Oreochromis niloticus: one gene and its partners. The protein of the gene in region 1 interacts with the protein of each later gene in a pairwise test. Links are inferred from orthologs where the notes say so. Each region holds a gene or a part of one and is shown in the gene's direction. Other genes may lie near its edges.

The links. The genes of interacting proteins can lie anywhere in the genome.
Region 2: the proteins of txn2 (region 1) and scyl3 interact in binary tests that used the Homo sapiens proteins (3 or more experiments, as listed by UniProt). The two-hybrid records come from large-scale screens. The link is inferred for Oreochromis niloticus from reciprocal best matches to the Homo sapiens genes TXN2 and SCYL3.
Region 3: the proteins of txn2 (region 1) and rbm45 interact in binary tests that used the Homo sapiens proteins (3 or more experiments, as listed by UniProt). The two-hybrid records come from large-scale screens. The link is inferred for Oreochromis niloticus from reciprocal best matches to the Homo sapiens genes TXN2 and RBM45.

Annotation. Positions count from the first base shown.
Region 1 is NC_031969.2:8,127,288-8,134,599, forward strand, and holds the start of txn2 (thioredoxin, mitochondrial), read left to right. Parts: upstream 1-4,296; 5' UTR 4,297-4,451; intron 4,452-7,060; coding exon 7,061-7,312.
Region 2 is NC_031986.2:42,757,902-42,765,311, forward strand, and holds the start of scyl3 (protein-associating with the carboxyl-terminal domain of ezrin), read left to right. Parts: upstream 1-4,409; 5' UTR 4,410-4,566; intron 4,567-4,588; exon of another isoform or gene 4,589-4,818; intron 4,819-4,931; 5' UTR 4,932-5,009; coding exon 5,010-5,174; intron 5,175-5,634; coding exon 5,635-5,820; intron 5,821-6,002; coding exon 6,003-6,116; intron 6,117-6,961; coding exon 6,962-7,018; intron 7,019-7,098; coding exon 7,099-7,201; intron 7,202-7,290; coding exon 7,291-7,402; intron 7,403-7,410. Other genes in the region: lpxn (leupaxin), read right to left, coding at 839-872. UniProt on the Homo sapiens protein: May play a role in regulating cell adhesion/migration complexes in migrating cells.
Region 3 is NC_031978.2:5,580,262-5,588,143, reverse strand, and holds the start of rbm45 (RNA-binding protein 45), read left to right. Parts: upstream 1-4,881; 5' UTR 4,882-4,947; coding exon 4,948-5,223; intron 5,224-5,587; coding exon 5,588-5,710; intron 5,711-6,127; coding exon 6,128-6,254; intron 6,255-6,427; coding exon 6,428-6,559; intron 6,560-6,669; coding exon 6,670-6,840; intron 6,841-7,358; coding exon 7,359-7,488; intron 7,489-7,882. Other genes in the region: cytochrome c, read right to left, coding at 1,415-1,589, 1,693-1,713. UniProt on the Homo sapiens protein: RNA-binding protein with binding specificity for poly(C). May play an important role in neural development.

The DNA of each region.
Region 1 (7,312 bases):
TCCATTTGGCTGAACTGAGTCCAGAGTAGGCAGCAGTGCTTCTGGATCTTGCTCATATACTGTATATTAGTTTTATTAATCTTGAGAACCCTGTTTCTTTTTTAAAAACTGTAACAGAAATAGGGTTCTCTTTGGGAAAAGTCAAAGAAATTTGAATTTTTATTTGCCGTCCCTTGGTAATTTGAGGCATTTCTCTGTTGCCACAGACGGATTTAGGATAACTGACAAAAAAAAGGAAAGAAAAAAAAAGGGACCAAGGGTACAGACTGTTCCAAAACAGGAGAAAAGGGAAAGAAAAACAAGCATAGAGCGAGGTTAGGAGAGTGCCAGTTAGCAAGGATGAGAAGGGGGCAAGGAATTTAAGTCCCAAAGTTATTTTTAAACTAAGGACAGGAACTCTACTGTTGACTCCCCAAACACAGAATCATAGATCAGTATAGGAGCAGAGCTGGGAAAAGAAGACAGGGAGCTTATATACACAAACACATAGACACACACACATACACACACGCTTCATGCATCTGTCAAGTGCGTCATCCCATATGTGCGTGTACATCCAGGCACATGCATCCTCTAAGCACAGGCCTGCCACCGTTTGGCATACTTTATGGTCTCGCAGCCACACTCACACCAGGATGTGTACGCGTCGTCCCGTAAACACGGCGCACAGCTCGGTTTAAAGATAGTTGCACGCTCAAACTTTTGGTGACAAATGAGAAAGCGTTCGTTTGAACTTCTTTTGGTGCCATGTCATTGCTGCATATGTGTATACAGCACATGTACCATGCATCTGATCTAACTGACCATAATTAAGAAATGGTGTATAGGCAGAGAATCCCAATTACAGGCCGGCGGCGAGAGCGTTTAAAGTTTGATGGCTCGTCAGCTGTAGAATATGTGACTGTTCACAGAGGATACGGTCTCACACTAACTGAGATAAACAGAAGGTCATCAAGTGGAATAATCTTTGTGGTGCAATCTGCTCAATAACAGGCTTTATACTGTGTGCTTTTCCAGGCTGTTATTATCAAGTAAAGACATTGGGATTTATGGGAAGCGAGCTGGGACAAAACTCACACACAAAGGCGGGAGGGGAGCGTTCTGTGTACGCAAAGGGCACACACCCTGCCATTCATGTGTGCTTTGTCAGGGGGCTGTTATGAAAGCCCGGCTCCATCGGCGGCTGTTGTATTCCCTCGACTGCTGGCTTGTGCAGATAGGAGAGGGAATAAACAGCCACGAGAGGAGGAGAATGGTCAGGTGCACCGTCACTGGGTCCACGGCACAGTCCACTGAAGGTCACAGGAATATCACTTCCCTCCTGACCTTTAGCCCACCGAGGTCAAACTTAGCACACACTCCTGGTTTTTCTGAAGTGGAGGAGGGTATCACAGGAAACTGGGTCTCTTTTACCTGTTTGTATCGTAATGATAGCACCCATCAACTACCTAAAGCAGGGGTCACGCCCTCCACTCTGGATCCTCGCACGTGCATCCTACCCCTCACCTCCAAGGTGTCACAGAAAGCAGCCTTGTTCTGGTCGTCTCCTCCTTTCTACCAGGACCCCCTCAAAAATCCCAGCAATCCCTGCAATTTCCGGTGCAATGTTTATTTGGCAGGAAGAGAGGGCTTGTGGGGTGGGTTGGGGGGGTGAAAAAAGAGCCTCACTCACAAACAGTCTGGGTTGGTTGAGAGTAAACATGTGCAGGCGGGGTGTGTGTGTGAAACGAGCGGTAAGCAGGACTGAGGCTCATGTGTTCTGGTCCTGACACACAGAGCAACGCTCTGTTTCATGCCCCAACCGCCTCAACCTGATCAACATCCCACCCCGGCTACTACGAACAGCACCCTCTGCTGGAGAAATGGACACATGACGTTAAAAGAAAACTTGAGATCAAACAAACTAAGAGCCTAAAATGTCTTTCTCTGAATAAGATATATAGGGAAAAAAAAATCCAGATCCATACATGAGCAGGGCCTCTAGTCCAGGGGTGTCAAGCATAAGGCCCTGGGGCCAGAATCGGCCCAGCAAACACTCTAACTGACAGCTTTGAAAAATAAATAGGAAGGCATCAATTTTTAACTTTTTTACTGTATATTCATTGCTTTTACAGTTTTTCCTACTGATAAAGACTTCCTCCGTGCCCATTTATTAGAAACCAAAGTAATGAAGTAAATGATAAGCAGTTAAAACACAGAAAAGTTCCTGTTTTTTATCACTATAAATGTCTACTTTTTACAATAAGTCCATAGAGGAAATAAAAAACACACCATAACTTCCTCTGCAGTTTTATACATTTATTTATCTATGATGATAGATTTCTTTTGTTTACTACAGCACTATTTCGTTATCATATAGAAAAACTGAGACAGTACTTTTGAAACTGCACTTTATGTTTTTCTAAATGTGTACTTCAACATCTTTACTGTGACAGAGAGGGCAGTTTCACATTTTCAGCCCACTTAAGATCAAAGTGGCTTCTTGTTGGTGAGTGCTACGCAGTGATGATGTCATCCATACACACTCCACAGAGGCCTACAGTTACTATAAATATCAGAATGACCCGTATATTAAATTTTACCCTTTGAGGTTTTAACATGAGACCGAGGATGATCTCAACAAACTTAAAATTTAAACAGATTTACATTCAGTTATACACTCAGAAAGCTCTGCAGGCTGGTAACAGGAACATTTATTATCAGCAGATACATTCACCCTGGGGAAAAATGTGTGTGTGGGAGACCATCAGGGCCAAGCTGGGTCTAGATTCCTGGGTGCAGTAGTTTGTAGAAAACTTCTCCCTTTCATCACATCTGTCCTGTTCCAGATGTTCTGTTGACTCACTGAGACATCATGTCAGAAACATCTGACATTGCATGATATATTTCTGCTTCTCTCCTCTCCTCTTTCTCCTCTTTTGCTGCATCTTTCCTTTGACCGCAGGCTCCTCTGATGTCTGAAGTGGGGTCACCAGTCTGGCCCACCAGACTGGTGACCCCACTGGTTGTTGTTGTTGCAGATGGACTGTCCTGATGTGCAGTTTGTCTTTGAGGGCATTCTAAAACTAGAGAAAACATTTATGTTTAAACCCCTGATCTGTGGAGATCTGAGTGCACTTCAGGCTCAATGGCATCCAGTTGTGTGGTGCTGGACTGAACCTCTGAGCACATCGCTGTTTGCACATGGTTTCCTGGCATATGTTTGACACCTGCAACTGGCTACCTGAAGCTTCAGGGATGTGTGCATTTGCAGGCAGCACGGCTCCAGAGCTGCAGAATAAAGAGTGGAGCAGTTTGTGCAGGGCTAGGCTGGCTAAGAGCCCAGGCGGTTGATGTTGCAAAACAGCGCTGGAGATCCGAGAGCTGAAGACAGCCCGGCTTTCCTGTCAGTGCTTTTGTTCAAACAGGCCCGTAGACAGATCAGTCTACATCCTTGATCTGTCTACATCCTTGATCAGATCAGGAAAACCCTCCACTGAAAGAAAAAAAGGTGTCCACCTGGAGGAAGTGTGGCTTTTGATGTGATAAAATGTGAAAAATAAAGGAAGGTGAAGCATGGACGTGTCCGCTATATAAAACTAAAGGAATGATGATGCTTCTCAGCAGAAATGGCTCACAGGAGCAAAGCTTCTCCACAAAGGTTTTAATCTAAAACTATATTTTCCTGCTCATTGTCTCATTGTGTGGATATTTTGGGAAGCCTTGGAGAGACTTAGAGTCAGGTCTGTGTAAATAAGCCACTGGAATCTGACTGTGTACTTAGCTTAGCAGAGTGATTAGAAACAAGGGAAACCATTTGCCCATGTCTGACAGACTTCATCCAACAACACCACCATGGTGCAGTGATTTGTACTGATGTCTCACAGCAAGATGGTCTTTTTTATATGGAGTCTGCATATTCGCCCCCGGCTTACATGGGTTCTCACTGGGTACTCTAGTTTCCTCCCACAGTCCAAAGACATGCATGGATGAGGCTGGTTGGCAACTCTTGAATGGTGGCAGGGGGTGAATGGTTATCTGCCTCTCTGTGTTAGCTCTGCAATAGTACAATAGTGGAAGAAGATTGCTGGACAACACACAGTAGGGTTAGATGGGGGTTATGCACTATCTGTCTTTGAGTTCCAGCAGCAGCATTTATTTTTAAGGTCAGTAATAGACTAGCCTTTTGTTTTCATTGTACCTGTATGAATATGTAAATACATACAATACTTATATAACCTACTATAAACTACAACTAAAACTAGCTGTCAGGTTAATATAGAGTAGATAAAAGTATGCTACGCTGATAATCCAACCCTGTGCTTCCAAACCTGGCCAGCCGGTGGCGCCACTCACTGATCTCTGTCGGCTGAAAAGCCGCACGTTCCCTTTTTTTTCTGCGGCACCAAAACGGAAGCACTTCATTGGTCCGCGAGGCCAAGATCAAGACCAGCGCCGACAGAAGAAGCGAGGTAAGCTGTGAAAATGCGGGCGCGTGTTTTAATGTGTGTGACATTTGAGAACGTGTTGTTCTCAAAGTGTCCGGTTTCGGTGTTCGCGTGCTGCTTAACGCGAGGAGGCAGCGGCGGGGGAAGGTTTAGGAGGAAGAGGAGGAGAAGTAGGAGGAGGAGGACGAAGAGGGCAAACTCATACGTAACGTAGATTAATGGAGCACGCGAGCTGCCGGTAGATAAGCGGCAAACACAAGATGTTAGGCCGAGAAAACGGCTCAGAGAGCTGCAGGGGAGTGGGCCGTTCTCAGTGGGGAAATTCTGAATACTTAAAGCTTTTTATCCATCGTGGGATTAAGAAAGTGTTTCTCAACAAGGCAACATGGCTGAGTGTGTTCTGCCAATAAACTCGTTTGTTCACGTCACTCGTTATATGACGCTCACGAGCCCTAATCACGTTAATTAGCGCTGATTCTTCATTAAACAGCTCGTGCTCGAGAGCTTAAACCGTGTGAGACTAGAAGTTTTTCACTGAGTGACTCAAAACAATGTTAGCTGTGAGTGTATTATAGAGGATACTCTAAGTGATTATTTTTCCCGCACACAGCACGTGACGGTTGCAGGTTTTTTCTGCAAAAAAGGAGAAAAGATGTCATAATCATCTAAACCTGAGGTAGGGAACCCCAGGCTTCAAGGGCCGCTGTCCTGCAGGTTTTAAATGTCCTTGATCCATCACAGCTGATTTAAATGGCTAAATTACCTCCTCAACATGCCTTGAAGTTCTCCGCAGGCCTGGTAATGAATTAATCGTTTGATTCATTTGTGTTGACCCAGGGTGAGATCTAAAATCTGCAGGGGCTCTCGAGGCCTGGAGTTCCCTACCCCTGATCTAAACCCAAGTGGACCTCAGCCCTTGTTCTTGGGCCAACAGCTGAGATCCTAATGATATTTAATTAAATAATACTGAATCTAAAATCCTCCAGAAAGTAGCATTACACACGCTCTATCTACTGACTTTTTTAAAATATAATTTTCCTTAAAAGCAGTCCAAATGATTATTCCTTGACCTTTTTTCTCCAACTTGCCTGACAGATGTGTCAGTTGTGTACGAATACAAATCAGTCCAGCATTTGTTGCCTCCTATCCCATCTATCCAGACAGCTCATTTGCTTAAACCACACAGACCATTTCCAGTAGTTCCAGTTTTGGAAATGGGCAATTTGCTGACATAAGAAAAGATTACCTGGTTTAGCCCGATATTATTTATTTTATTTTTTTTACTTATGTGTTAAAAGCAAACCTATTGTGCTTTTTCTGAATTTGTTGGTGAATGCTTATATTCAACATGGCCAAAGTTTCAAATAAAAAGGTCAGTGCATATACAGGTAGTCCCCTGGGAGCCAAAACCTGAGTTCAAACAGCACTGATGACAATATGATGTCAAACAAAGCAGATCATATCACCATTCTCATGTAGAGGGGTGTGTGTGTGTGTGTGTGTGTGTGTGTGTGTGTGTGTGTGTGTGTGTGTGTGTGTGTGTGTGTGTGTGGTGGGGGGGGGGGTTAATGCAACATTGTATTGTGATATTTTGCGTGGCATTATTGCATTGATACAGGAACAGCAAATATTGATAAATGAATTAATAAATTAAAATACTATGAACAAGAAGGCTCACGTCATGAGATGATGAGCCGAGCAAACTCACATTAAATCAGCCCAGCTGATAAACTGTCAAACGCTGGTTACACTTAGCTTTACAAAGATGCCTCCTAATTCAGAGCAAGCTAATGACTCAGTCACACACGCAAAACTAGGACAGCGACCTCCTTACATCTACACCGGTGGCTTTCTGGTGATTGTACTGAATTTTTTCATGTTCTGCAACCTGGTCGTGATTAAATGGTTACCACACAACCACTTTTGATCACAAGGTGATTGCGCAGGTCACCTGATGGGAAGTAACCTTTCTGCAAACAGTTGCAGTCTGATTTGGACTGAGTGCAGTCACTTTGAGAGAGTTGAAGGTTTGGAGATAACTGTTGTCTAATATATAAATACAGATGGACTGCCAACATGTTGCAATCAGTCTGAATGAGTCTTTGTCAGCCAGCAGGGTACACCCTGGACATGTCGCCAGTCTGTCGCAGGCCTAACAAATAGACACAGACAACCATTCACGCATAAATATGATTTAGTTATTTTTTTATTACACTTTATATTTGTTTACCAGATAAACTGGGACTTTATCGACAGTTAAACACTTTATCGACAGTTTATACCAAGTGCAGCATAAGAAAAAAAGGGATCTTAAGCCTATAAAATGGATTATTTAGAATAGTAACTTATGCGAAACTACTTTTGTACAAGTCAAGAATGAAAATATGGAGCTGGAAATAAATATTGTGGGTGTCACCATGTAATTAATTTATCACTAACTATAGTCCTGGAAACTGGTGCCAGTTTGTAAAGCTCAGGCAGGGTTTAAGAGTGGATACGGGATGGGACCTATAGCGTTTTTGGATAGATTTCTTAGTATTTTTTTAAATCTTATAATCTGAAGTGTCTGAAATGCAATATTAATATTATAATAAGTAACACTTATCTTCTGTATCTTTGCCTGTTGTGCAAAGATGGCTCACAGGCTGCTGCTACGAAGACTCTGGACACTGTCTGTGAACGATATCCGCTGCCTCCCCAGGTCCACTGCCTCCGTCGCTTCCTCTTGTTATTCCACATCCCTTCAGTCCACTACAACCCGGGTGTCCTTTCTCTCCCCGTCACGAAGTCTGCCTCGCGCCCTGCCTCACACCTCCCGCCGAGAAGTCTCCTTCAATGTGCAGGACAGCGAGGACTTTACAGAGAGGGTCATCAACAGCGAACTG
Region 2 (7,410 bases), on another chromosome or scaffold:
AATTTATGTACAGTGAAATATTTTCTATGAAGTAAGATACAGTGAATTTCAATACACAGATCAAGACGCTAGCAGACTAAGGTTGCTCATGCAAGTTGCATTCCTCAGGAAGTGAGGGCATACCACATTGCAGAAGTGAAACTTGTGATAATGTCGCAAGAATCTGGTGACATTTGTTACAGCAAATACAACACTCCTCCACACAGGGCAAACCACACATCTAGGGAAATGGGAAGCTTTTGTATGAGTAAGTATTTTACATACAAGTAGCAAAAAAGACAAAGGTTCATTTTAAAAAGTTAAAGACATGACTTTAACTTTCAATGTCAGTAAGTCAGTAAAGATCATCATCTTCAAACAACACCGCACCTCAGAAAAATCTTTTATGACATTGTGAAATTAAAACAAATTCATTTCTTTTTGTCTTACCTTTTGACCGTCACCCTTATTTCATTTCCAGTATGGGAATTAAACGACTTCGTTAAGACTTGTAAAGTCCTACTGTATTCTAAATGTTACACCGTATTTGATTTGTAGTGAATCGCTACATGCAGAGCACTACAAATCAGAGGTAAAACACAAGAACAATGGTATACAAATTCCTTCAAATGAGCTGGATCATTAAGTACATTAAATATTGTACTTAGAGTCTGCTGTATAAATCAGTCTGAGAACACACAAGACTGTGGTAATACTTCATAAGCACTGGCTGTGCTTGATCTCATGGAGTCAACATTCTAATTCCTGATTTTGCTAACAGTTTCGACCTCAGTTTAAATTGTACCATCGATTAGTTTGAGGACATTTATGAAGGTAAAACATGACAGAAAGTTCTTACCGAGCTCATCCATTTTGGTTCCTTCTGACAGCATAAAACTTGAACGTGAGTGGGTGGCTTTTTTTTTCTTTTCTTCTCTTTGTGTGTGTGTGTGTGTGTGTGTGTGTGTGTGTGTGTGTGTGTGTGTGTGTGCGCGTGTGTGCGTGTGTGCGTGCTGGTTAGTTGCTAAGGCAACTGAACTCATTTCTGATCTGATCAAAACCGTCGCTTCCTGTGAGGAAGGTGTGTTTTCGGTTGCTGCTGTGTGAAGAATTGTCAATAGCTAGGAAGACGTTTGTTTGTTTCCTGAAGATGAAAACAGTGAGTTTTATAGCAATGCAAGTGTGATGCCAACAGAGTGAATTTTTCACTTATTAAATTTGTGCTTTTGTTAAATATTTATTGCATATTTCTTTAAACAAGGTGTGTGTTCTGTTGTAACATTACCTCCACTGCAAGTGGTAGAAAAAATCAGCTTCTCTTAATTACTGATTAACATGGCGCTGATAAAACTCAACATCCTTGTGTTCCTAACACAGAGTCAGACTGACATTTTGGTTCACAGATACAGAAAATAGTACAGAAAATATCATTTTGAAGCTGTGTCATGACAGTGTTTGCCCAGCAGAGTTTGCTCTGACTCCACTGTTCACAGTTCTCTTAGCAGTGCAAGCATCACATGCAGCAGGATCCATCAGTGGAGAGTCAAGTAATGTCTTCACCTTAAGTTAACCTCAGTTTACACTTGTGAAACACATTGCTGGAAAGTTCATAAATAAACTATTTAATGTAACCTTGCACTCTGTATTTATACTCATAAAGAATATGTGGGATTTGTATTCCCTAGAATATGCGCAAAAGAAGGAACATTTTTTTTTAAAGAGATCTATTTTCTGTCGCCTACATTGTAGAGGGCGACTTTGCCTCTAAACAGAAAATGAGTATAGCCCGGGGTTATAGCGGGATTCAGCACGTAGTGGAACCCTAAAATCGGTTATAGTGGCTCAGCGTGGGGAAAAGAATCGCAATTTCTATTGTGAGCTCTTGTAGATCTTCTTTGTGTACAGGCTGTGATCAGATGATCTGGGGTGCTGCTGCTCTGAGGTTTATTGCTCTTTGTGGTTTAACACAACTGAATTTAACAAGGTGTGAGCAGGTGTTTCATGAGTTGTCCTGTTCCATCCTCTACACTGACACTGTTTATGCTGTCCTTATACTAAACAGTATGAAGGTGGAATTCAGTGAATGAATCCAAGTATAATCAGCTTACCTTCAAATTCATCTTTGCAATACTTAATGTAACCTAACTCTGAAGACCACAGCCACTTTGCACCAATCTAACACAACGCTTTATTTTAAATCCATCACATTACTGCAAGTGAACCAGCTTATCCTGAACTAAACTCCATATTTTCATGCAACCTTTAAATAATACAGTTGGTCTGTGTCAGTTTTTTTTCAGCACATTTTACAACATGAAAAAAATAACATAATATGTACAAACCTGATATTCAAATTTCCAGTTTATCAAACACCACCGAGCAGAAGTTAAATATAACCTCTCTTCTTCCTCTCCTGCCCTGTCTTTATCTCTCTCCATCTCTGAGTGAAATTAACATCTTCACAGCAGATCTACCTTTCTTTAGCTAGCAGACACACAGTGTGACAAACTGCACACACAAAGAGTTTGTGTGTTTCCTGACATTTGTTGAGGTGACAAAAAATTACCTGCTACTTAAAAAATATCACTCCTTTTATGTTTCTCTTGGTCCTCTTCTGTAGTGCTAGCTAGATGCTGAAGTACAGCAACTGCAACTTACGGACATGTGCACCCATTCCTGTGTTGTGCCGAAAAGTGATTATCTGCCAAAAATTGATTTCCAGTGTTTCTATGTGGGTTTTTTTTATGTGTCATGTCTTTACTTATATTGGTCAATAGACTTTAGTGAACAGGATTTACAAAGGGGTTATTTATATAATTTAAAAAATACATGTTTTTCAAGTATCTTTATGACTCTGGGTTACTGTACCTACATTGTAACCAATCCAGTCCATTTTGGAAGTATCTTTATAGAATTATTGTTATATTTGTTGCAATTCCTGCTGTCCTCTTGGCCAGATTACTCCTAAAAAGACATTTGTTAATGTCAATTAGACTTTTTAACTGGATAAATAAAGTATATATAAAAGTCACTTTCCCAAAAACTGATCTACAACGATAGGAATGTTGTTTGTGGCTCAAGATGACTTGATATCGTTCATGAGGGATACATTTGACATATGTTTTAGATATTATAGGCCAACAAGTTATTTATGGCAATTTAAATACAGGCAATCACTTTTTAGCAAATACTGGAAATCAGTTTTTGGCAGGCAATCACCTTTTGGCATTTTAACCCCTGATTATGGTCTCTTTCATCTCTTTTTATGTGACATATCCTTGTGAATAATACACGAGTAAGATTGCCTTTCATGTGTTGCTGCTGAGGCTCAAATTTTGAAGGTTTGATGTTTGAAGATGCACACTGACATGAAAAAAAGAACTCCCCTCAAATGTCTTAAACCAAAAGTACCGAGTCTGTTTTGAAAGTGTAAGGAGTAGAAAGTACAGACATTTGGTTAAAAATATAGGTAATAAAAGTAAGAAGTTGTTAGAAAAAAATTAATACTTATGTAAAGTACATATACCTGAAAAGGCTACATACTTACAGTAACGAAATATTTGTACTTCACATCTCCACTTCGACTTGTGCAATTTGCCGTCATGGTGAGGCTAGATCATATGCCAGCTGACATAGGATGAGAGACAGGATACAGCCTGGACAGGTCACCAGTCTGTCTCATATGCATACATGTTTTCGGATTGCTTGAGGAACCCAGAGGACCCAGGGAGAACATTTGAAACCAACACCTTCTTGCTGTAAGGTGACATTGGTAACCACAACACAACCCTGCAGCCTTTAGTATTAATTCCAAAAATCCAGTAATGGTGGTGGTGGTAAGGATGGAAGCAGTTCTAATAAACAAGCAATGTAAAGCATATTTGAAAGATATATATTTTTAAGAACCCCACTAACATAGAAATAAAGTTTGGGATGCAAATTTTTAGATTTAACATCCCATGATGGCTTTACGTGAAATGGTAGTGTTTATATGGTTTATTTTATTTAACCTAGCTGTGTTTGGGAGTCTCGTATATTATGCATATCATCATTATAATAAACCGGAATGAACTACGAAACTATGCTTTGACAGCTTTTTAGTCAAGTCAAAGTCAAAGTAAACTTTATTGTCATCTCCGCTATATCCAGTGATGAGGCTCCGGTTACATCAGTGCAAAAAAGCCTAATAAATAGATATAAAAGGAGTAAGAAAATAAATATACACTTAAGACGATATTAACTTTTATAACTATGTGTTACCCCAACATTATGGACGGCACACCCGCTTTTCCTGAGAATGAAACAGTGTGCTTTTTAGAGTTTCAGTAAGACAGATAGTGACAGTTTCTATTTTCACTTCACTCACCATCTGGCGCTCAACTCTCCGCTGATTACTTGCGTTATCTCGCACCACTTTAGTCGCAACCATTATCTTACGGGGTGGGGTGTTTGTTCTTTTGTATAAATCTATCAATAACAAAGAAAACCTATTAACGAATGATTTTATGATGAAGGGATTTGAAACCTGTATCTGTTGAAAATAAAGTTGAAAAACATTAAGCTATTCAACCAAGTGAGTAATTACAAGTAAGTACTACCCCCTCCTCTGTGGTTTCGTCTTTTACCGGAAAGGTCCTTGTTTACAGCACAGCTCTTGCTCCACGTTAGCATCGGTGATTTGACAAGCAGGAAACGGGTTTTTTTTTTAAATAAACTTTTAAAGCAGTTCGCAAAACTCATTGAATTAATCCGTGGTATACTTCGACTGGCATGATTGTTTGGAGGCGGAAAAGCTACCGACAAGGGCAGCAATGACAAGCTTGCTAACGTAGCGCTAAGGTTAGCCTGCTAGCTAACTTGTCACTAAGTGGTGCACCCAGTTTACTGAAACAGGTACCGGTATGTCAATTTAACTCTATAACAAGTACTCGTGTCTGCTTCTTTACTGACAGGCACTCGCACTGCCACGTATCACGCCTGGCTTGCTTAGTTTATGACCTGACTGGCTGCTCATAAGAACGACCGCGGTCATGGGTGCGGAGAGCAGCGCGGTGCGGAGCTGCACCCTGGAGGAGCCGCTCCTGACTCTGCCCACCGGACCTACCATGTACTCGGCGGTGCTACAGGATGGAAAGCCCGCTTCTGTGTTTGTTCACAAACGTGGCAATGAAGACAAAGTCAACAAAGCTGCCAAGGTGTGTAATGTCCAGATGTCGCTGCTCGCCTTTGCCGTCGCTCATGTGCATTATGCATGGAAGTGTGCAGCCAGCACACTGCTATGTTCATGTTAGACACAAAGTACCGCTGCAACGTTGAGACATTTTTACCAAACTTCTCCAGTCGGTTTTCTCTCTTTTCTGAAACTCTGTAGAAAAAAAAAGTTATTTAAAAAAGCGAATTAATGCATCACGTGTGATTGTGTGTGAAGTTGAGCTGTACACACGTGTGTAATGTGGATGTAACATTTTAATTAAGAAAAAAATTAACATGGTTTTGCTTAGTGGAAGAGCCACCTCCAACTTCAGTATTCTCTGTTGTGACTAAAATTAAATAAGTGGAAGTATGAGTTTTATTGTGTCTTAACTGACGGGTAAGTTAAAATACTAATTATTTGCAATTCTTACATCTGCTTAATCATCCACACATTTCACCCAGCACCTGAAGACACTGCGACACCCATGTCTACTGCGCTTCCTGTCCTGCTCAGTCCAGAATGGTGCCATCCACCTGGTGACAGAGCCTGTGCAGCCCCTGCAGCTACTGCTAGACAGTCTCTCCCCAGAGGAAATTTGTGCAGGCATCTATGACCTCCTGCAGGCACTTGTTTTTCTGCATGAGAGGGTGAGTGTTTCTCCAGTCTCTGCATGATTATATTAAGGCATGTGATAAAAAATAAAGTGGAAAAACAAGGTGCCCTGTAGATGAAGATGGAGAGGGTGATTGACCCTTGGATGTCTTTCTGTCTGCATTAAACATGCATGCATATTCATGCAGGTTCCAAACTTGTGTTGCTCTTCCACCAGGGTAAGTCGAGCCACAACAACGTCTGTATTTCATCTGTATTTGTCAGTGATGATGGTGATTGGAAACTGGGAGGGATGGAGACAGTCTGCAAGTTCTCTGAAGCAACTCCTGAGGTAAGAAGTGCATTAAAGCCATATGGGCAGTCATGTGAAAAAGAAAGTTTCAGAAGAATTCTTTACTGTCCTGTGAAAAACTAAGTAAATATCAGTCTTCTCAGTCTTTTACATCATAGTGGAAGAATAACAACTCTTTTTACAACATTGTTTCAGTTCATTGAAGTTTGCAGGCATTGGCTTAGGAGAAGCTGTCAAATTTCAATTGATTTAAGGTCTAGACTTTGACTTAGCCATTGCAACAACGATTATTTTCTATTTTTAGATATTCTGTAGATTTGCTTTTATGTTTGGCATCATTGTTTTGTTGCATGTTTGCATGTTGTACTCAAATTTTGACTACTACTTGAAGTTTTATCTGTTGGATAGAGTTGGTCTTTGGTATACAGAAAAGCTCATGGTTGACACAGCAAAGTGCCAAGGTCATGTGGTTGAAGAGCAAGCCAAAATCATCATCCCTCCACCACTGTGCTTAAAAGTGTTTGTGCTGATGAGCTGTTTTTAATTTTTGCTTGATGTGATTCTGTGCATTATAGCTAACCATTTCCCCTTTGATATCATGTAGCCAAAGGACATAATACTGGTTAAGCCGTTTTCTAATCGTACTGTCATAACATGCTGATATTTGAGAAAACATTTTGTATGACTGTAATATCACAATTCAGTCTGTGTGTGTTCACTCAACTAATGCTACGTTGGCAAAGATTTATCCAAACATTGAGCCATTTTTTCTTGCAATGTATATACAGTTCAGCAGTTTTAATGCACATTTTTAGACTGTTTAAAGACTCACTCTGTAAAATATCAGGTTTATGTTCAATTTTGGATATTCCTAAACTCCTTAGTTCCTCACAAGCATCCAGAATGCAAGAGAGGCCAGCTATATTCCTCCAGAAGAGCAGGTAAGCAGATTAAAGTTAGTGATTGACAAGAAACATTTCCCACTGTGTTGACAGGTTTTCAAGAAACTTTTTCTTGGCAGGTGGAGGGTTTTAAAATCCTTCCGGATAAACATGCTCACTCTCGGGACTGTTACTCTTTTGGGATGATGGTGGAGTCTCTTGTTCCTCTCCTTAATGGCTATGGTAAGGAGAGGTGACCTTGAATATTACATTTCATTTTTTCAGGTTTAACCTGCATGTGCATTATCATATACTTGCACTGTTCCTTTCAGTGTCACAGGAGCTTGCTGCCAGCTTGACAAAAACACTGCAGGCAGGCCTGTTGAACTCTGACCCCATGTCGCGGCCACCACTCAGTTCCTTGCTCACCAATGACTTTTTCAGGTTTGTCT
Region 3 (7,882 bases), on another chromosome or scaffold:
GGCTTTAAAGAGGCCGCATTAATAAAAAGCATTTAGCTTGTATACAATCTTTTAAAAAAAGGAATTAAAGCTACCATTTATAAGTCTAGTTTAGACTCAAAACTAATTAACTGAGGTGAAAATAAATGTCACCTAACACCTCATACTCATTTGCCTTCTTCTGAATGAATCTCACTAGAGACTTGTTACAACTCTAAACAGTCTTGTAGCAATTGAACATTTTATTGTACAAACTGTTTGTGTACTCCAAAAGTATCTGATGGCTTGTCAGATGACATACTGCTTCACCACAAATACAGGATATTTGTTAGTGTCAGCAGCCTGCGATGTCAAAACAGTCACACTGAGACAATAGCGGAAATTTTAAAGATCTGTCCTTTTGTCCTTGAAAACACCCATAACCTTTAAGAGTACTTCTCTCAAGAGCTGACCGTTGCTAAGCTACAAGAACACGTCTTTATCGCATCTACCATTATCTTGACTGATATCACAGACCTGCCCCTTCTTGAGTTTGAAGTTGGGAGAGGAAAGTTACAGAAGGAAGGAAAAACGCCACACGAGGACAGTTTTACACAAAGGACTTTGAGCGTGTTGGCCCCCAGCTTCAGCAGGATTTATAGAGAAAACAAATGGTGAGGATGACACAGGGATCGTTAGGCCTGTGTGCACAGTGAAAGAGTGCCATGTGACCTTTTATGAAACCTAAAATGGCTTTGTCATTTGCAAAATGTGAAAGAAATGTTCAAGTAATCCAACACCATTATAGTCAATGTGCACTGCATAACATGACAACCTCAGCAGGTCGTTATGTTGTTTTGGATTTCCTTTTTCTCTTTTCTTTTTTCCCCCCCATCAGAGCATCCAAGGCAGTGGCAAGAAAGACATGGCACTCTTCCAAAAAGGGCGACAGGAGACCATTTTATTAACTTCACTTCAAGAGTGAGAAAAACCACCTGCAGGTACAAACTGTGTGTGATTTGAGCTGAAAACAAAAATGCATTCTGGGAACCTGCAAGACTTAAAATGTGAAAACGGAGGAGGATATGAGACTTTTAAAGCCTTACAAAAAAAAAAAAAAAAAAAAAAAGGGTGGGGGGGGGGAGTTTAACTACTTTTAATATAGATGCTTAAATGGGAAGCCTTTGCCTTTTTTAAAATTAAAAAAAAGGTTAAAAAAAGAAAAAATATTTTGCTTGTAAGCTACTGATACAATATATAAACATGAAACAGCCCTTTAAAGACTTCTGAATTTAAAAAAGAAAAAAGTTTGTGAACATAAACTACACACTTATTCAAGTGAGGCAATTTCCAGAAAAATTCCCAGATTTCAGACAATGCCAATCTCCCTTCTTTGGTGATCTACATCTAGCATACAAAGGTATTTATACTCTACTCAGAGACCCAGTGAACTGACCTTTGCTCTTGTTGGCGTCTGTATAAGTGAAGCCTTCTGCTTGTCCGGTCTTCCTTCCGAACAGACCCCAGAGGTTGGGGCCCACCTTATGCTTGCCACCCTGCTCTACCGTGTGGCACTGAGCACACTTCTGGACAAAAACCTTCTTTCCCTTTTCAGCGTCTCCCATAGTTGACTGGAGAAACAAAGGCAACAGGAAAAAGAATAGAATGAGATGAAAATGCAGTTTAAAAAGCAAAAGTAAAAGTATACAGAATTATGAAGGGCTCTTTAAATACATCAGACTGTCTTCTATTCATAGCCCAGTTAGGAAGCTCAAAGCTCTAATTTGACCCCAGCGCCATTTTGTGAAGGTCACTTAAGGAGACAACTCCATAACTTTGACCATCTCTTATCGCCGGCTCTAACTTTACAATGCATTCAGGTAAGTGATCGCATTGCCCTGTGCGCTGGCACGACGCCGAGATTACCCGGAAAGCTGACAGAAAAGCAGTGCAGGAAGCCGAAACTACACCGCCCTTAAAACACGTTGGGCTAGCCACGAAGGGCCTCAGCTCGAGTTACTCCAGGGGGGAAAGGTTGCCAGGTTTGGCGAGTAAAGGAAGACCTTTTTAATGATCTTGCGCCATGAGGCAGAAGGTTTACCGAGGGGAGTCAAGGTTAATGTGCTTAGCGGAAAACGTGCTGTAATTACTAAAGCACCTGTGGCAGAGATCCGGCCGGTGTTTCTGCCATAAAGTCGCTTCTACTTTAAAGATTAAAAATGATGGTCTATCATCACTGGGGGAAACATTTTAGTGCAACACCACTAACATGACCCCGGTCCCCAAAAATCCTCTACCGCCCCCTTTTTCATTAAAACTGCCTACAAATCTTACATATATTACACATCAACCATCATTATACGGTTAGTTTTTTGAGTTACATAATATAACGGCTAATTTTCTCATTCTAGTTCTTAAGAGACGAACCGCACTACATCGTATGCCATTTACAATAGACGCGTAGCCTCCAACATGGCGGCAGCCGGCTGAATGGCATCCTCCTCACGTAATATCAAGGACGTACACCATTTACCAACATGTATCAACATGTATTCGCGGTCTATGTGGCATTTTCGCCCGATTTTGACGTTTCGAATCGCTGACTCAAGCTCAACCTGAACTCAGCTTGGGTCAACCATCGTGCTAGTAGTACGACAAGCCGGGTATGGGTCGCCCACCGGGGCTGTCAAGGATGCTTCAATGTCGGCGTACGAAAATTGCACTTCAAAGCTGCTGTGTTGCCCAAATGTGTTCCCAAATCACACAAGAGCTCAAGTAAAATGGCTATAACGTTTAAATTACCTTATTATTCCCCCATAACGGACTACGCAATGAGAGCACAACCGGGCTATTCACCAACGTGGGCGCTAACTCCCGCTACATGCTACTGTTGCGGCTCATATCCTGTTACTTATAATAGAACCTCGATTCTCCTGTAAATAAATTTATAAAGTATGAAATTTTACCTTTGATGAGAAGATGTCGGGTTAAAAATACTCTGCTGTAGGTAAGTAACCGGCTCAGCCTCGGCCGACAAGCGGTTTGTGACGGTCGCAAAGAAGGTCACTTCACTTTAGAGGCACCGGCTTTCGACGTCATCACAGCCAATCATGTGCCGCGAGATTACCGCTTAACCATTACGTGTCGGTGTAGTATCATTTCTATAAACTGATGTAGCCTCATCCCTGTCATAGCTTTAATTTTATATAAAGAAGTCGTTTAATTTGTATGAAAAAAAAAATACAATTTAAACACAGAAAACACTCATATCGTGTCTATATGTAAGGTTTTACCAAGAACGCAGCAAGTTTTGTTATGTGTGTACACGCGAGGCGACGAGGCTGAGAGCAAGAAAACGAAAGGGAGTTTTAGTACAGGCCCCAAGAATCTTGTCGCATTCCCTCCAGAGCCATTATAGGGCAAAGGGAACCTGCTTTTCTGGAGAAGTTTCATGAATGATTTTGGCAACCGAAAGTACTCCGCGTTTAACTTGGTAACAAAAGATAGCCTTTTAATTTAACAAAACTGACACGTAATTTAATAAGTCACTCAATGAACGTATACTCTTAAGTACATGTAGTCTCCACAAACCAATTACCAATAGAAAACGTGTGCATAATGTTTACAAATTATTAAATAAAATAGATTGTCTTCTTTTTATGTCTTCTACTTATCTGTAGTTTCTTACATTGCCTTTTGCACTCTACATCCTTATCCCAAAATGAAGCCTCACTCGCAAAGTGAAATTTATGTGGCTAAATGATATTTATATTAAACATGAAAGACAGAAAATGAAAAAAATAAAATAAAAAGGTTAAGTGCTGAGCCTTGAGTGTTTTCTCAAGGTGACACTATGTGTCCCCAGGATAGTAGAAAAGACTTGTTTTACTAAACACAAAGACATATAGCGAGCATCATTCACAACATATGAAACGGGAATACTATTATGACAGAAAGCGGCTATAAAATCTAAACGTTTGTGCTCAGAAGGGTCATTCAGCACGTGACCTGTAAGCACCTAAAAATACACGAGCGCGCGCGCACACACACACATGCAAACTAGGATGCTTTCAAAATTAATAATCTACCCTTACAGCACATCATATTTTTAACAGCACGTGTTTTATTTAAAAATCATGGTCTGCCATTATAGATATAATCTTACAACTTTTCTGGTCGTCTGTCCCCAGCACGAATGTGACTAACTCTCTCATCTCTAACGAAGGGCTAGTTCCCTCTTATTTCTTTAAACAAACACACACAGAGGCAGACAGAACGAGAGCTCAGGTAACTATTTCACAGCTGATACCTGATGTTGTCTAAGAGTGTAATCCTGTGTCAGGTATTTATAGAACACGATTAATAGGATTAATAAGCCATCAGGTGTTCTGGTTTGGTGATAAGTCCCATTACTCATGTTAATTAACGTGTTAGTTACAAAACCTCTCTGCAGCATCTTTTCGTAAGACCAGGGTATTTTGTAACACCTGCATTTCTCCTTCCTGTGCTGCAGAGGGCAGTAAACGCAAATACGTGTCATCAGCTCCGCGGATGCCTTTAAGACTGTCGGAATTTCTACAATTAATTCACTAAAGTTCTCATTTGACAGCGAACAAAGCAATTCACTTTCTAAATATTTCAAGATTTAAAACAAAAGTACTAAAACAACATTTAATCTCCTGCCTTATAAGCATTCTCTATGCACGATTCAATCTCATTGCTTCTCTGATTCATAACTTTTTCTAAATATTTAAATTATCAAATGCTTGCAAATGACTACTACAAGCGCTAAGTCGTGAATTTTTAAAAGTCTCAATCTAAATAATGTTAATGAAGGAAATTACTTTTCCAAAAGTTTTTTTTTCAAACCACGTAAATAAACACGTAAATAACAAGAGCCGTTATAATTTACTTAACAAATGCCGTGGAGCACCTGAAGGCAGCACTAACAACTGCAAGCAACACTGCTGTGTTTACAGGGAAGCGAAGATGGAGGAGTATCCCTCCAAACAAGTGCCCGAAAACCTCGACGACCCTCCCAACAGCCGACTGTTCGTGGTGACGAGTCGGTCCATCACCGAAGATGAGTTGCGGGAAAGCTTCTACGTGTTTGGAGACATTCAGGGGGTCTGGGTTGTCAAAGACAAGCAGACAAAGGAGTCCAAAGGCATTGCCTACGTAAAGTTTGCCAAGTCTTCTCAGGCCTGCTTGGCCATGGAAGAAATGCATGGCAAAGTCCTGGTGGAAGGGACTAAACCTGTTAAGGTAATGTCAATGGTTAGGTCTCCAAAAAGATTATATTTTGTCAGCTTCAGTTCAGACTGTCGATTTATAATTTGCGTATAGCTAGCATGCTAAAGGGGCGTGATCGCTAGCTGCTTTCAGTTCACATAACCTCAATTATCTACAATCTCACTCTTATGTGCAAAATGCTGTTTAAATTTTAAATATTTGGAACTGAGAAGACAAAACATGGAATATTCATGGCTAGGGATAAATCTTATTCTTAACTTTACATAAGAAAAAATCATAGTTGCGATTCCTCTTCGAAAATATACAATTAACGTGTATCTTCCGCTATTATAATGCATCATTTGTGTCTCTTTGTTTGGAAATGTTGGCTCTTCAGGTGTTTATAGCCCAGTCACGGTCATCAACGAGACACAGAGATGTTGAGGATGAGGAGCTGACCAGGATTTTTGTCATGATCCCCAAATCCTTCTCAGAAGAGGACCTCAAAGAAACATTCAAAGTAATACTTCTTCTTTTATGGCTTCGCAGCTCTTTGCTTGCCTGTGTTTTTTATGTGTCTAACGGAAATTGCGTTGATTGTTTAATGTCAGTATTGTGTTTCCTTTATAAAAAATATTTGTGTGCTCACCCAAAGAGGTTTTGGCCATCTATCAAAGAACCTGCACCAGGACTGTGATTAAAGTATTTTGCTATAATCTAAATATATTTATATTTGTCTATCAAATGGCCTAAAAATAACAGGAACATACATAAACGTGTGTTAAGTAAGAACAAAAAATCATACTTTAACTATATACAGACCACTTATGCTTAGTGTATATAGTGTGTTCTTTTAGACCATCTTATTTCAGCCTCTCTAGAACTCGCTGACACTCCTAAATGCTCATTTAGATTCTTTCTGTTTTCTGTTTTGCAGGAGTATGGGGATATTGAGTATTGTGTGATTATCAAAAACAAGTTTACAGGAGAAAGTAAAGGCCTCGGCTACGTAAGATACTACAAACCCTCCCAAGCTGCCCTCGCCATAGAGAACTGCGACAAAGGTAGGTCTGCCAAACTCATTTACTTGTTCATTAATCCTGGTAGAAGCAGCAGTATGAACATCAAATGTACAGAGTGGTTGGTGAACGGTTACAGCTGTGGTGACTTCTCACTTCAGTTAACACTTAGTAAAGGGCATGTTTATGATTTAAAGCTGTGGAAATGGTGTTATTAGCCTACAGGGCCATCCTGGCTGAACCTCGAAGCAAATCAACAGCAACAGAAGATTACAGCTCTGGAGGAGCAGCAGCCAGAAATGATTATACTGGCGGCTCTGAATCCATGAACCAGTATGCGTTCTCATTGGGTACGAGTTTCTTTGTCATCAGAATTTACTACCACAGAAAGGAAAGGGTAAAGGTCTTAGTATTATCCTCTGTCTTGGTACTGACCCTGGTGTCCTTCTTCCCTGTTTAGGCGACCCTGGGAACTACACAGTCATAGATTACCGCCACGGTGATTTCACACGCTGTCTCATGGTGTCCACGCGGGTTGCACTCAATCAGGAGCAGATTTTTTCTCTGTTTGACATTATACCTGGCATGGAGTACTGCGAGCTGCAGAGGGATGCCTATGGAATGAACAAAGGTTAACAGTTCAATGTTATTTATATACCTCCAACATGTTACACCAGTCAGAATCTGTTGCAGTGAGGAGAAAAAAACCCTTTTAAAACGAACCATCTGCAGAATGAGGCTCAGGGACGGTAACTGTCCAACTTGACCTGTTGGGCCAAGGAATCACTAAACACTGAGCAGATTGTTGGGAACAGTAACCTCAAAGTAAACTCTTACAGAACTTAGAGCCACCAATGTTATGGGTTTAATCATCTACAAATGTGACAAGATTTTAATCATGAATGTTTTCTTAGTGTGACAGAGAGTGACTAAAGAGATTCTATTTTTGATTGCATGAGATGGCTAAAAGGAGCAAACCTTCACATTTGAAAAACTGGATGGAGCTGCTGATTATTTTACACACTACATCAGCTTTACTCTAGTTTGCAGTCTCTGTTCTCTGTGGATGTTGATGTGGTCCATTCTGTTTTGATGACTGTAAAATATTCCACTCAGACCTTTTCTTTGCTGTGTGTCACCTGCCTCCAGGCCATGCTTTGATTCGCTACAGCAATCTTGGGTCAGCACTTTATGCCCGAGAAAAGCTAAACGGCTTTGAATATCCACCTGGAAACAGACTGGCTGTAAATTTTGTTGACGACGGCGAGGACCGCGGCAGGTATACACACATAACTACACAACAGTATATGTTTAACTTTGAGCCTGCAAAAGGGTCACAAATTACTGGAGCCTCAGAGAAGAAACACCCTTTAAAGTTAATATATCCATAAATTAAAAAATAGGAATGAAAATGCCACTGATAATTAACTGTGACCTTGTCTGCACGCCTTCTTGGCCATGTTTTATTTGTTGTTAAATATTCACGGGTGAATGTTGTCCCCTGTGGGTTGCAGTGACCGGGCAGTGTTTTTTCAGAGTGCCGTGACTGCCTTTTTAAATTTTACGTGATCTCAAAGCTGTTAGCGATACACATTCACAATATTCATGAACTTCACACTCTCTCTAGTAAAAGACATCAGAAGAGCAGGCGGACGTTCTTGAGTTATACTTCT